Astyanax mexicanus: one gene and its partner. The protein of the gene in region 2 purifies or fractionates together with the protein of the main gene of each other region. This does not show direct contact. Links are inferred from orthologs where the notes say so. Each region holds a gene or a part of one and is shown on either strand. Other genes may lie near its edges.

Region 1 (8,070 bases), on a different chromosome or scaffold from region 2:
GCTCAGCCGACCAATCACAGTCGCTGTATTCCACATCACTATGGAGCAGTATGATGTTGTTGGGGAGGTGTGTGCGCGCGTGCGCGTTTGTGTGTGTTAAAAAAAAAAAAGTAATTAATTAAATAGGGCACCATACAGCCCAGAGGGAGAGATTTTTAAACTGGGTGTACTGGTACTGGTTTGTAAAGTGGGCTGTTTTGGATGGGTGTGTGTATCAGAAATGACAAAATGTTTTAAATGTTTTTGTTTTTATTATTAGTAAGATTGATCTGAGGGCACTGAGCTGGAGGATGAAACAGCGTCCCAGTGAACCGGCTCAGATCCAGCAGAACCGCCGGGTCAGATCCAGCAGAACCGCCGGCTCTATTTATTATTATTCTGATATTATGATAAACCAGTTTGTACAAAAATGTTTGTTAATTTCCAGTCTACTGAACTATATTGTCTATCGATATTGTTTTAAAGTATTAAAGTTATTGGTAATTCTGATACACTGAGCACTGTGGGAAACTACCGAAAACCTAATATCTGCAGTTTACCCAACTACTGAACTAATGCAAATAACCCAGATGTTTTAATATAAATAGTTGCTGTGCTCTGTCTCTCAAAGTAATTAAGATTTTCACAGATACACAGATCAGTTAGTGCCCGCTGTGTTGCCCCCTTGGCCCTGTGCTGCAGCTCAGTGTATTTTGGGGGGGTCTTCATACTGGGCCTGTTAAAATACCCCCTCAGGTTTGGATCAGGGATGTCAGGGGAAGTAAAACCATATGGAGCCAATCAGAACCCAGTAAAGCCAACGAGACTTCATTCCAGTTCAGAAGGAGAACAGAGGAGCTGGATTCTCCAAAAACACAATTTTTTACATTTCCCACCTCAAATATCTGATCAGCACCAGTAACACTGCGTATACCAATATTGTTTTATATTATTGTTATGGATAACAGACAAGATATTTAGGGAGTTTTTGTCACAAGCTTATGTTTGGTATTATTGTTAAAAGTTGGGAGAGTTAAACATAATTCAGACAAAACATTTAAATAAAAGTAAGAATTTTATCTGGTTTACAGAAACATTAAAAATATAATTTGATGATTATTTCACTGATTTGGTTTCTAAACTGAAAGATTTCACTCTTGGAGCACAACAGTGCAGAAACCTGGGCATCAAACCCACAACCCGCTTCTGCTCCAACCACTAACCCACCACTGACCAAACCAACAAACTGAAGACAGAGTTCATACGGTCATGAAAAACCTGGAAAAGTCATGGAATTTGAAAACAGCAAATTCTAGGCCTGGATAAGTTTTGGAAAAATAAAAATACCCAGAAAGTTTTGGAAAAGTCATGGAAATTATTGCTCTACAAATCTCAGTGTTTCAGTTTATCGTCTAAGAAAAGCTAATTTGGTGTTAAAAATAATTGAATGTTTAGGCAAATCCATCGTGTCCCGTCTGCACTGATATTTTAAAGACTGTACGGTCTGGAAAAAACATGGAAATGTATTAGTTGAAAAGTGAAGAATTTACTTCTAGATGCTTGTTATACTGGGTTAAACTGGATATTAGCTTAATCTCCCAGTAAATAAAAAAACTAAAACAGTATAAAGCATTCCTCAGTTCATTATTAAATTAATTCATTAACAGCATAATAAAGTCTCTTCAGTAAGAATTTGAGAACTCAAACTTTGGATATCGACTCAAACCCTTCAGATCATCCAACTCTATGCGACAAAATATATGATATAGTTTTATATACTTGCATCTATACACGAACACACACACAAATATATACATATATAATACATACATGAACACTAGTGTTGTGACTGTAAAAGAGCAGAACAGTAAATGTTTGAGCTCTGTAGAGCCACAGCTTGATCTGGTTTAGCTGGACCCTCCTGATGCCCCTCTGGAAGCGTAAACACAGCAATCTTCAAACAGTGGATCTGCTGATTGTCCAGAGTTTACCACTCGCACTCGGGCACTGCTGGGCTGATGTATGCCCACGCGAAGGAAAATTACCCCACACAGAATCAGCGCCGAGCCGCTGCCAGCTCAGATCTCCCCGCGTTTATTATTCAATTTTACAAACATTAAAGCTGCAGGGGTTTCATTACACAATACCCACACAAAGCTCCATTCATAACCCAGCGCTGGTTCCAATTTACCACGAGAGGGGGTGAACAACCCCCACACCCCCAAAACTCACAGCGCACTCCTGTACTCTCCTGTGTATGTATGAATATATATATATATATATATATATATATATATATAAAATAAAGACACTGATGAGTAGTTGAGGTTTTTAAGGCAATATACTGTATAAAAAAAGAGAGAGAGAGCGGTTAAGCAAGAGGTTTAATAAACTGAGTTCAGACTTGGACGAGAGAAAGTCAGACTTTATTTAGTAGAGCCGCTTGAACGTTAACTCACACAGCTGAAAACACAGTCGCTGCAGGATGAGATTTATGGACTGGTCAGAGATCTCTGTGCAACTCGTTCACGAGCAGCTCTGGACTGAACCACGGCTTCTCCCACCACGTTTCATTACGTGGTTCTGGGCCTGAGATAATGGGAGCTTTTGGACACAAATAACAATAACAATAATTCATGTTTACAAAACAGTCAGAGTGAAAAATGCACAACTTTTACTTCAAAAGCAGTTCCTGTCCTTTAACAGAACCCCCGCGCTGCAGAACACAGCAAAGAAAACACCGCACAGAACCAGCCCAAACGCCGACACATCACACAGCCCCTCCCGCAGAGATGTCTTCTTCCTAAATCCCTCCATTTCTGATCCATCCATCCTCAGCCAACGCTCTTCAACTTCTGCTATTCCGAGAATAAAATGGTGAACGCCATGATGATACAGCAGCACGCCACGTACGGACTCTTCCGCTCACCTGCAAACAAAACAATGCATTAAATAATGTAGACCTACACTGTACACTCACACACACAAACACACATTCTCAAGGTGTTTGGAACCCATACAGAATAACATACCTATTCTTGCACATTTCCAGAAAATTCCTAGAAATCTGTTGGGGTAGAAAACAGAGAGTAAGAGAACTGTATTATTAAATATTACACACGCATCATTATTTACAATGTTATTTATGTTAATTAGTAGATATTGATTACACTATTAACAGTTACCCAAATGATTAACAGTCATCAGTAGTTTTTATAGTGGGAAGCACATTTCTCCGGTGAGTAAAATCTGATTAAAGGTAAATTAAAAAGTACATTCCGTTAGTTTTAATGTTGAGAACTGTAAATACCGTTAACTTCTTATGGAAACAGAATTCAACACAGCCGCTCTGTATCTGTAGCTCCTGGCTTAATGCCAAGGAGAATTAAGCTCTCATTAAATCATCTTCCTGCAGAGATGAGCAGGATCAGGGTTAGAAGAGAGACATCCCTCTCCGGAGGCGCCGGACCTCGCCAGAAATATCTACAGCCGACTGGAATATAAAGCCCATATAAACCCGGCCAGTTTCACCAGAACCAAACAAACATTTGGAACATCTCAGTCTTTATCAGAACAGATACAGTGCAGCAAAACATTTAATAAACTCTGATTCATCCATTACACACAGTTTTACCAGAACAACAACAACAAAAAAAAAAACATCTGCCATCCAACCAACATTACCTGCATACTCTATAAAAGTACCCCAGGTTTTTTCAGAAACATCTCAGAAAAACAACTTTGGGTTCCCTAGAAAACCAAGTCTAAAAACGAGACAAGAGTCTGAAGAACCGTTCTTTAAACACTGCAAAACAGCAGAATAGGTAAAACCGGTAAATGCAGCTTTGACATTACAGCTCCAGACTAACATTTTTCAAAACCATTCTAAAGCTTTGTGGTAGCCGCCCCAAAATACATATTCTTTTTTTTTTTTTCTTAACATTACTGTTACCTCTAGCAGCATTACCAGCTTTAATAATCTAATAGCCGTCGGAACGCAGAAATATATTTATATCTGGATTGAAACACACTCCTTTACACAAACGCACAGATTAAGATCTAAAGTTTCTCCCAAAAATAAAACACTATCTTTGCAAAATATCTATGTTATTTTTTTCCAAGGATCTATCATTTGACAAACCTCTTAAATATATTGATGCCTTATTTTTTTTTTATTTAAGATTCTAAACCAAAACATACTTTATTTTAGTGTTTAATTATGACTGTCCAACAATTATAATGTCCAACATTTTTTAAATAAATAAATATGTAAAGACAAATATCATTTTATTTCGCTTATTTTTAGGATGAATAAAAAGTACACGATCTTGTTTTAGATACATACCCTGTTTTATTCTTGTCCAGCAGGCTGGGAGCTAAAGCTCGGATATAAGCGCAGGTACAGATCAGCAGCAGAATTACCGTCAGTAAACTCTGGAAATTAAAAATTGCAGACTGCAAAAAATAGACAAACATTAGTTACATAGATTAATAATTGCAGTATACAATATAACTTACACTCTTTATTGCAGTGTTTAGGTTCAAGGTGAAATAAACTTTAGTTTAATGTTAAACAGGCTGTTGATTATTAATGATAATATTTAGTAGATGTAACTCGGGGTTCTAATGTAGAATCAGATTTATTCTACAGAGAAAAACTTTAATATTAATCAGAACTAACGAGCTAATGCTAAAGCTAACGGGCTAAAGCTAATGGGCTAAGGTTAGTGTTTCCCGGCGGTTCTGCAGCGGGATGTTCTGGGAGAAGCTCCGCGCGCCATCGGGAAGATATTAATTTTAGCGCTCCGTTTAGTAAATCAATTTAATCCGGGATTAAATAAAGAAATGTTTCGGTTTTCTCACCATTTCCACAGCTCCGGTAAGCCACCTCACACTTCCTGTACACAGAGGAAATGACGACACTACAGCGCGTCTCATCTGCACAGAGTAAACAGAGAAATCAAGCTGAGGCTAATGCTAACACCCTGCTGACCCACAGGTAAAACACTAACACTCCTCTCACTCTTTATACTCTCACTCTCTATACTCTCACTCTTTATACTCTCACTCTTTATACTCTCACTCTCTAACACTTTCCTTCTCTTTCCTTTCACTCTCTTTACTCAAATTCAAATTCAAATTCAAAGTTGCTTTATTAGCATGACAAATTTTCACATTTGTATTGCCAAAGCTGTGATTAACAAGTATATATATATATTCCTGACAAAATTTAACATAAGATAACTGTACAGGTAAATTTGAACACAAGTTTAAGTAAACAATTAAATTAATTATTATAAGAAAAAAAAAAAAAAAAAAAAAAAAAAAAAAAAAACATATGATTTATAATAAAGAGTAATAGAGCTTGTAGTTCTGTACAGCAGTGTATCTGTGGTCACTCACTGTCCCTCAGGCTGTGGCAGGCCTGGACGTACTGCGCTGCCAGAGTGCAGCACTCACTGTGTTCCCCCAGCAGGTAGGGGAGTTTTTCTGGATCGGGGATGTTTTTAAATGCAGGTAATTTGTGGGTGAATTTGGTGTAGAATTGGGTTCTAATCTGGGAATATTTGGGACATTCTGTAAGGAAGTGCAGCTCTGTCTCTGGTCTGTTCAGTGGGCAGTGTGGGCACACTCTCTGCTCTTTGGGCAGCCAGGATTTCTTGTGCCTGCCCGTCTCTATGGCCAGGCTGTGGGCACTGAGTCTGTACCTGGTCAGGGTGGACCTCAGTTTGGGGTCAGTCAGGGTGCTCAGGTATTCCGCTGCTCTGTACTGACGGTTTAGGGCCGAATAACACTGTAGTTTACTCTGAGATTTAGTTTGAGTTTCCCAATAGCTGATGTAGTTTTTTTGGAGTTGTTTTGTAATTTGGTTGAATCTGATTGGTGTCTGGTCCTGAGTGTGTGGGGTGTTAGTGTGTGTTAGAGCTGTGTGTGTAAGTGTGTTAATGTGTGTGAGTGTAGAACTGTGCTTCAGGACCAGCTGAGTGAGGGGACTGGTGTCTTTGCTCAACTCTTGGTACTGCAGAGATTTATAATGGTAAGAGTGGGGGTCGCTGTGTTGTAAATGTGTCCAGAATTTGATTGCCCTTTTTTGTATTTTTAAAATCAGTGGAAATTGGCCTAATTCTGCCCTGCATGCGTTGTTTGGGGTGTTTCTGTGAACCTTCAGAATAATTTTACAGAATTCTGCATGCAGGGTCTCAATTGGATGTTTGTCCCATTTACTAAATTCTTGGTTTGTAAGCGGACCCCACACTTCACTGCCATAAAGGGCAATAGGTTGAATTACAAACTCAAATATTTTTAACCAAATTCTAATTGGAATTTCTACAGGAATTTGTTGTTTTATGGCGTAGAAAGCTCTGCGTGCTTTTCCTTTCAGTTCATTCACTGCCAATGTAAAGTTTCCAGATGAACTGATTGTAATACCTAAATAATTGTAGTTTTTTGAATATTCAATATTATTTGTACCTAATTTAAATATGTGCTTTTGCCCCTGAGATCTGGATCTTTTTTGAAATACTAAAATATTTGTCTTTTTTAGGTTTACTGCCAGGGCCCAGGTCTGGCAGTACTGCTCCAGCAGGTCCAGGTTCTGCTGTAGACCCTGTTCTGTGGGGGACAGCAGGACCAGGTCGTCTGCGTAGAGCAGGAATTTGATCTCTGAGTCGTGCAGAGTGAGACCCGGGGCTGCAGACTTCTCTAATATTTTTGCCAATTGGTTAATATAAATATTGAATAATGTTGGACTCAAGCAGCAGCCCTGTCTCACTCCGCGCTCCTGAGAGATGGAGTTTGTTTGTTTGCTGCCAATTTTTATTCCGCATCTGTTTCCAGTGTACATTGATTTAATTAGATCATATGTTTTACCCCCTACACCGCTCTCTAGCAGAGTGTATAATAATCCTTGGTGCCAGATTGAATCAAATGCTTTTTTAAAGTCAATAAAACATGCAAAAATTTTGGATTTATTTTGGGTAACATATTTATCAATTAGGGTGTGTAGGGTGTAAATATGATCAGTGGTGCGGAAATTTGGTAAAAATCCAATCTGACTTCTACTCAAGACATTGTGCTCCATAAGGAAGTTTAAAAGTCTAGAATTTAAGATGCTGCACATCAACTTCCCCAGATTACTGTTCACACAGATGCCTCTGTAATTATTGGGGTCGAATTTATCTCCATTTTTAAAGATTGGTGTTATAAGTCCATAGTTCCAGATTTCAGGGAAGTAACCTACACTCAGAACCAGGTTAAATAATTTCACAATTGCCAGCTGTAATTTAGAACTTGAACTTTTTATCATTTCATTTAGTATGCCGTCTGGCCCACTTGCTTTCTTTGGTTTTAGTTTGTTAATCTTTTCTTTAAGTTCCTGCGCAGTAATTGAGAAGTCTAATGGGTTTTGATTGTCTTTAACAGCTAATTCTAGTTTTTTAAGCTTTTTGTTTATATTATTTTGCTGTGGATTTGAATTTGTCTCTATTTTTCTGAAAAGTGTCTGGAAGTGGTTCGTCCAAATATCTCCATTTTGTATAGCCAATACTTCACGGTCTCTTTTTTTAAGGTTGTTCCAGTTTTCCCAAAATTGATTGGTTTTGATTGACTCCTCAATTAGTGTCAGTTGTTTGTGAGTGTGCTGGGCTTTTTTGGTTCTGAGTGTACGTTTATACTGTTTTAATGTCTCACAGTAAAGAAGGCGTATGTGGGTGTTTTTTGGGTCACGGTGCTTTTGATTTGATAATTTCCTTAGTTCCTTACGTATGTTTTGGCACTCCTGGTCAAACCAGTTATCTTCTTTTTTAAGCTTAGGTTTTGATGTATTAATAATTTTTAATTTAGCCTTTTCTGATGTGTTTTTGAATATTGTATTTAGATTTTTTACTGCCAGATTGACTCCTTCTTTACTGTGATAATATATGGTATCCAGAAAGGTGTCTAACTGAGTTTGAATTTCTTGGGTGCTGATTGTTTTCTGGAACTCTTCTGTGCTGTTTTGGGCCCATCTGTATGGTCTCCGGATGTTGTACAGCTTACTGGGCTGAGTGTGTGCTGTGCTGTTAGTCTCTGTCCTTTTAATGAACACAGTAA
Region 2 (7,380 bases):
TTCAAAGGGCAACTTAATCAATCAACATGGCTGAACACCATCAGCCAATCAGCATTCAGCAGACATTTTGGCAGGCTGAATGTTGCCCAATCTGGATGATATTTGGCAGTTATGTTCAGGTGGAGACACTGTAGTGACCTGCAAAGTGCTGAAACAATCCGCCCACTGGGGGGCGCTGTTCCAAAAAAACGAGTATATGTCAATCATGCTGTACTATTTTGACATCTAATTGTTTTTGCCATATTTAGTACAGTGGCTCTGACAAATTTCTCAATACAACTATGTTTAAAAAGTGCTTTGTTCATTCATAATTGCTAATTGTTTGAAAATAGCTATATTGAAACTACTCTCTGGATATTTGGCCTATCACCTCCATTTCAGTCTTGCTGCACACTGTAGAGTCTCTAGGTAAATGTTCATTAAAAACATTTGTGAAAATTTCACATACAATACTCTCCAGGCATCAAGCAATCTGTGCGTCCTTGGAATTTCTAACCTAAATTGCTGTAACTCTGCAGTATTTGCTGTAATCTCACAATGTTAAAGACCTCTGTACAATATCACTCTGATGAAGCGCCATTTAATACAGAACTAGATTAAGAATAACTTGACATTACATGTCATATCAGAACATTCACTCCTTTGTGCCTCTTCTCAACATTAATAACAGGTGAAAGACTTTTGATCATTTCTAAATGTGACAGAATGTCTCCAATTGTGTTAGACCTTCTTACACATCACCATCCTATGCTCTAGTAGGCACCATTGTGCTAGTTGGTGCTTGATGAAGCGCCATTTAATTCAGAACTAGATTTATAATAACTTCGTAATTACATGTCATATCAGAACATTCACTCCTTTGTGTTAATTTAAACTTGTTTGGTCAAACATTTCAGCTTGTTCTGCAAAGGTTCAAAGGTCAATCTGAATACCACTTTGTGAACATTCTGGTTGAAGCCACCTGATCAATACCAATAACATGTAGACACCTTTTGACTAGTTCTAACTCACTTAATGAATATCCTACAAAGTTCACTAGATTTACATGTGAATTTAAGCACTGATCAGGTTGAAAGGCCTCTGCTCAACATTAATAACAGGTGAAAAACTTGATAATTTCTAAATGTGACAGGGCATCTCCAATCATATTAGACCTTCTTACACATCACCATTCAATGCTCCAGTAGGCACCATTGTGCAAGTTGGTGCTTGAACCCGATGATTGCCGCTTGCGGCTATATTTATTATTATTATTATTATTATTATTATTATTATTATTATTATTATTATTATTATATATTTTTTTATCATTCATTTCAAACAACCTTACAGGATATAGCACCTAATTATAACACAAGTTAACAATCGGTCCAGACCTTGGCCTTTCGAAATTTCCTCTAACTGGACCATAATGAATTCTAGTTAAGATCTTCCCATACACCTTTTTTTTTTCTTCTGTTTCATCTTCTCACAGACACCATGATAAGAACGTGCTGCCCAGACAGGCTGGAGCTGATCACGTCACTGGAGCTGGACAACAAACTGTTAACTGGACTCTGTTGATGTAGCCAAATTAAAAGATACTATCCAGTTGCATTGGATCCTATTGATTTACATGTCATTTGCACTCTCTCTCTCTCTCTCTCTCTCTGGGTTGTGAATGTGTTGATCTATAGAGATACAATTATACATTGTGTTGACCTGTTGATGTACTTTTACTCTTTTCTAAAGTATCTATTGATATATGTTCCTTTTATATATCTGTAATGCTGAAACAATTTTCAAGTAAAAATTAACTTATTTTAAATTCCAGACTTTAACTCAATATCTATCTTTTTATGCTCTGGGATTTCTCACATTCGAGTTTTAGTCATGCTGTGGTAAATTACTCTACAGTAAAAAAGTGAAATCATTTGCTGGTGAGAATTCAGACACACAATTCATAAAATATCTGTTTAAAATAAAAATAAAAAAATACTTCACGTTGGGACATGTTGACTCTTAGATAATTCATGTTTTGTAAATCTTTTTAAACCATAAATCTTTCAAACAGTTATGCATATGTTCATAAGAGGGTGGAGATCCTGTGTATGTTCAAATATATGCTACAAATAAATGCTACAATTTGTACATGTCCCTTTCGTAATAAAGTATTATAAAAAATATAAATATAATTTAATTTCCAAAAAGTTTCAAAGTCCGATTGGAACTCAAACCCAGAAATGAATGATGTATTCACTTTCGCTTTACTTACATGGTTTGATTTGAGGTGCTGTCCTACTGGCTGTAGAATGAACTGTACTTCTTAATATTACAGGTTTATCCAGCTAATTCCGACGTTAAATCGTGATATATTTATGCTGTGCTGTAATTTTACCAGAATGATTTTCTCTTAACTGCCTGCAGGAGGAACTGATAGATCATTAATCTGTAGGAAATTTTAGTCCAGACCCCTCTCCTCCTCCCCTTCGTTCAACAGAGAGTCTATATAGAGAAGAGCACCCACTCCAGACCGTTTACCCTGTTTATTCAGCCTCCAGAGGGCGCTCCAGAATTAATAAGTTCATATGAAGCAACTGAGCAAAATCAGAGTTTATCTTTGCTGTAGTTGGGCAACAAAGAACAGAACACAAAAATGTGACTTTATAGCAAAAAAGTATCGCAATAAACCCACAGCATATATCAAGGATATCGGAAAAAGGCAGTTTGGCTTTGCCATTAGCAAGCGAGCTAACTAACTTAGTTAGTTAGCGTTAGCGCCACAGGCTAGGCTAGCTAAAGATATAATTACTTTGACTGAGTAACATCTAAGGCAAAAGAAGCACTAAATATCTGTATACAGTAAGAGACACTGTACTAAATCCATAGCTAGCATATATCAATCATATCCAAAAGGGGTCTTTTTTCTCTGTGGTTGCTAGCGTTAGCTATCTCATAGTTAGCACCCACGCAGTTCAGAGACAGTTGGGTCGTCTTTTTAGACTCGGATCTATTAATACAGCAGGGAACACAGCACTGGGCCATATTAACAGACTCAATGCAGTGGTTTAAGAGTATTGCGCAATAATATTGGTGCCAAGTATGATAAAAAAAAAAAAAAAAGCTTTAGCGTGTCATAACAAGAAGCCCTTTTTTTTCTGAAGTACGACATAGTAACTTACAAAAAACAGATTTCTTATAATTACAAGATGTTTATTTTATAATTACGACATACAATGTTGTTTTAACAACATTACTTAAAAACAAGATACTTTTTCATAATAATGGGATATGTATTTTATAATTACGACAGTGATTTTTAAAAATAGGTAGTTTCTCTAAATTAGGGGATGTTTATTTTATTATTACAATATCTCAAAAAACAAGATATTTTCTCGTAATTATGACATTTATTTTATAAATACGACACAGTAACTCATAACAACGAGTTAGTTTCTCATACTAATGCTATGTTTGTTTTATAATTACAACATACTATGTTGTTACGACATACTTTGTCGTTTAAACTATATTAAAGCTCATAAAAACGAGAGTTTCTCGTTATAACGACATGCTAAAGTTTTTTTTAGGAGACTTAGGAGCAATACCTTCAGTAGGAACTCACCAACCAATCAACACTGACTAGCAGCAATGCTAGCGCCTTTACTGAATAAAACCCGTTTACTGTAGAGACATTTAACAATATAGACTAGATTTCTTTACTTTTTTAGTAAAATACTTCATTGTACTTTCCAAAATACAATTAATATACAGGGTAAATAGTTAGTTATGTTTTTAAATAAAGTTTTTGCCGTTTAGCTCTATTTTTCTCTATTTATGAAGGACTTTCTCGCGGGCTCTCTCTAGCGGTGCGCAGTTGCATTATCTGATTATAATAATACGGCATAGCGGGCGGTACCGGAAATAGGTAGTCTTGCCATTAAAACAGCTGTGGCTTGACTTCCACTTGGGAAAATCTATTTATTATTATTTTAAAGGGATGTCTCTTTTGTTCTTTTTTAATGTTAACGTTAATAAATCAATATAACGCACTGTATTATTGTTTGTTCTACTTTATCTTGCGTTTAAAAGGTCAAAAAAGTATTTAAAACAATAATATTTATCAGGACGGGTGATAAACTGAGATTTTAGATGTGTTGTAAAGAAAGTAACCCCCCTATTTCCTTTCTGTGTTTTTTCCTGCGCTTTGAAGTGCGTATGGGAAGTGAGCGAGGGCTGGATTGGGACAGAGTGGGCTGTTGAAAGGGACGCGTTGTGTAGCTGTTTAGATAGTTTGTTAGCCGACTAACTATTATCCTTGTTTTCTGTCGTTTTTAAAGTCTTGAAGGCGTTTTAAAGTCGTAATCTGGTCAGTGCGCTGTTTCGCGTTTGGCTGGTTAGTATGTTAGCTGCTTGAAGGTGGTGGAGAGCTGTTTCTGTTTAGTTTAGTGTTAGTTAGCTAAGATATGCTAAGTGTATTTAAATGTTCTGTGATGTAGGATTATATTAATATTAATATGTATAATTCTGATGTGATTTAAAGCCGTAAAATAAATGATAAGTGAGGAATAAGTGTATTAAATCCTTTTTATTTAACTACAGGTTGCTGGTCGTAGAGCGTAGGGAACAGATAAGTAAACGACCGCACTCCTCGGAATGAAGTGTGCACTACTGAGTCCCTCAGGAGCCCGGGTGGAGCTGTGTGATGGACGCGCCCTGATCCTGGGTCGGGGTCCTGAGTCTGGAGTGAAGGATAAACAGTGTTCCAGACATCAGGGTAAATACACCCTTACAGCCTCTTCTGTATTATACAGAGACCCTAAGGCATACCTGTCAAGTCTCCCGTTTTGGCCGGGAAACTACCGTATTTTATTCCTCTTTCCCGCCGTCCTCCCGTTTTAGTATTTTCCCGTAAATTTCCCGTATTATACTAAATAAAAAATATATATAGGCCACAGGCGACAATGCACTGACCGCTGTGTGTCTCTTAACCAATCGTGGTGCCGGTTCAAGGAGAAAGTCCCGCCTTTCAGGAGAAACAGCCAATCAGCTAGCTGGTTTTGCGGAGCGCAGTTTAGTGTGCGGGAAGCCCCGCCCCTCCCCTCGCTGTGAGTTCAGGCAGCTAGTCGGAGCAGCTGTCGTTAAAACTAATCTGGATATACGGAGATTTTTCTAAAAGAAAGGTAATTAACCATGTAAACTGTGATGAGATTGTTTCTGATAGCTGGTTAAAAAGACTCTTCTCTGAATCAAAACATAAATTAAACCCACTGTGTGTTTAATAAAATACAGCTTAACTTTAGAATTAGCTAGATAGATATTCAGGGTTTGAGAAAAAAAAAAAAAAAAAAAAAAAAAAAAAAAAAAATATATATATATATATATATATATATATATATATATATATATATATATATATATATATATATATATATATATATATATATAATGCCCTGCCCTGATGTGCCTGATCAGCCAATAACTATCATTTCCAAACTCTATTAGTTCAGGGCTAGTTTTAGGGTTTGTTAGAATTTGTTTAAATCTCAAGTATTGTGGTAATGTATTATAATGTAATGTAATGTATTATTTAGAAGGGGTGGAAGAGATGGTTGAGCTGGAGAGAGAGAAAATGTGGAGAGGGCTGAAATTAACTGAACTGATCAGGAGTGGACTGAACAATAGAAAGAAGTATTAATGAAAGATTATTAATTGTGTAGGCCCCTTAGGACTATTATTTACTTATGGAATATATCTGATCCATGTCCTTTTTGTAAATTTGTGCACCCTTCAATTTCAATTTTAAATCTATTAAATAAATAAATAAATAAATATATATATATATATATATATATATATATATATATATATATATATATATATAATATATATATATATATATATATTTTTTTTTTTTTTTCCCTCGTTTGGGCTGTTGGGGCGGCGGAAAAAATCCCTTATTTTTAAGTCCAAAACTTGACAGGTATGCCCTAAGGTGACATCATGTTTAACAAAAAAATATAGCATGGCCACCACTTATTAAGACATGGGAACAAGATACTAACAGGTGGGAATGAAATAATTAAGGCGTGTGAATGAGAAAACTAAGACATGGCCACCACTTATTTAGGCGTGAGAACGAGATCCTAATGGGCGGAAATGAGAAAATGAAGGCTTGGACACAGCTTATGAAGGCATTGGAACGAGATACTAATGTGTGGCAACAACTTATTAAGGTGTGGGAATGACATCCTAACGGGTGGGAATAAGATAATTAAGTTGTGGCCACAGCTTACTAACCTGTGGGAACAAAATGCTAATGCGTTCCCGAAACTTATTAAGGCGTGGGACAACACTCTAATGGGTGGGAATAAGATAATTAAGTCGTAGCCACGAAAAAAATGTAGGCATGGGAACAAGATGCGTGGGAATGAGATTCTACTGGGTGGCAATGAGATAAGTAAGGTGTGTGAATGAGATAATTAAGTTGTGGCCATGACTTATTAAGGCATGGGAACTAGATACTAATGCATGGCAATGTCTTATTAGGCTGTGGGAACGAGATCCTAATGGGTGGGAATGAGATAATTAATGTTTGTGACTGAGATAATTAAGTTGTGGCCATGACTTATGAAGGCATAGGAATGAGATACTAAAGAGTGGGAATGAGATAATTAAGGCAAAGGAATGAGTTTCTAATTGGTGGGAATGAGAAAATTAAATTGTGGCCACAACTTATTAAGGCATGGGAACAAGGTACTAATGCATGTCCACGACTTATGAAGGAGTGGGAACAAGATCCTAATGGGTAGAAATTAGATAATTAAAGTGTGTGAATGAGAAAATTAAGTCATGGCCACGACTCATTACGGTGTTGGAACGAAATCCTAATCGGTGGAAATTATGGTGACATAATGTAAAAAAAAAAAAAGGCAAGGGCACAACTTTTTAAGGAGTGGGAACAACATCCTAATGTGTGGCTACGACTTATTAAGGCTAGGGAACAACATACTAATGGTTGGGAAAGAGATAATTAAGGCATGTAAATGAGATAATTAAGTCATGGCCACAAGAAAATTATGTCGTGGACAGAGAATAATAAAGTTGGCTTTTCTGTAAATGAATGCCCATGATGAAACTGAATATTACATCAAAGCTCCTTTAATTCAAGGATGATCTTAAGAAAATGGAGAGTGGCACCGAGTGGTCCAGCGGTCTAAAGCGCTGCCACTAGGGGCGGGAGGTCGCAGGTTTGATCCCCCGCTCATGCAGCTTTGCCATCAAGCTGCCGGCGCTCAGAGAGGGAGCAAAATTGGCCCTGCTCCCTCCGGGTGGGTAGATGGCGCTTTCTCCCCACATCATAGTCGGGGTGATGTCTGCAGCACAGGGCGTCTGTGAGCT

Evidence for each region. Proteins that work in one complex are often made in the same cells at the same time.
Region 1: the proteins of bifunctional polynucleotide phosphatase/kinase (region 2) and xrcc4 purify together in Homo sapiens (co-immunoprecipitation; 5 studies listed by BioGRID and IntAct, counting the BioPlex papers as one, with this or other methods). This does not show direct contact. The link is inferred for Astyanax mexicanus from reciprocal best matches to the Homo sapiens genes PNKP and XRCC4.

Annotation. Positions count from the first base shown.
Region 1 is NC_064427.1:67,856-75,925, forward strand, and holds the start of xrcc4 (DNA repair protein XRCC4), read left to right. Parts: upstream 1-4,917; 5' UTR 4,918-4,978; intron 4,979-8,070. Other genes in the region: tmem167a (protein kish-A), read right to left, coding at 2,838-2,908, 3,012-3,046, 4,325-4,434, 4,843-4,917.
Region 2 is NC_064425.1:32,501,094-32,508,473, forward strand, and holds the start of bifunctional polynucleotide phosphatase/kinase, read left to right. Parts: upstream 1-4,198; 5' UTR 4,199-4,348; exon of another isoform or gene 4,349-4,375; intron 4,376-4,581; 5' UTR 4,582-4,635; coding exon 4,636-4,756; intron 4,757-7,380. UniProt on the Homo sapiens protein: Plays a key role in the repair of DNA damage, functioning as part of both the non-homologous end-joining (NHEJ) and base excision repair (BER) pathways.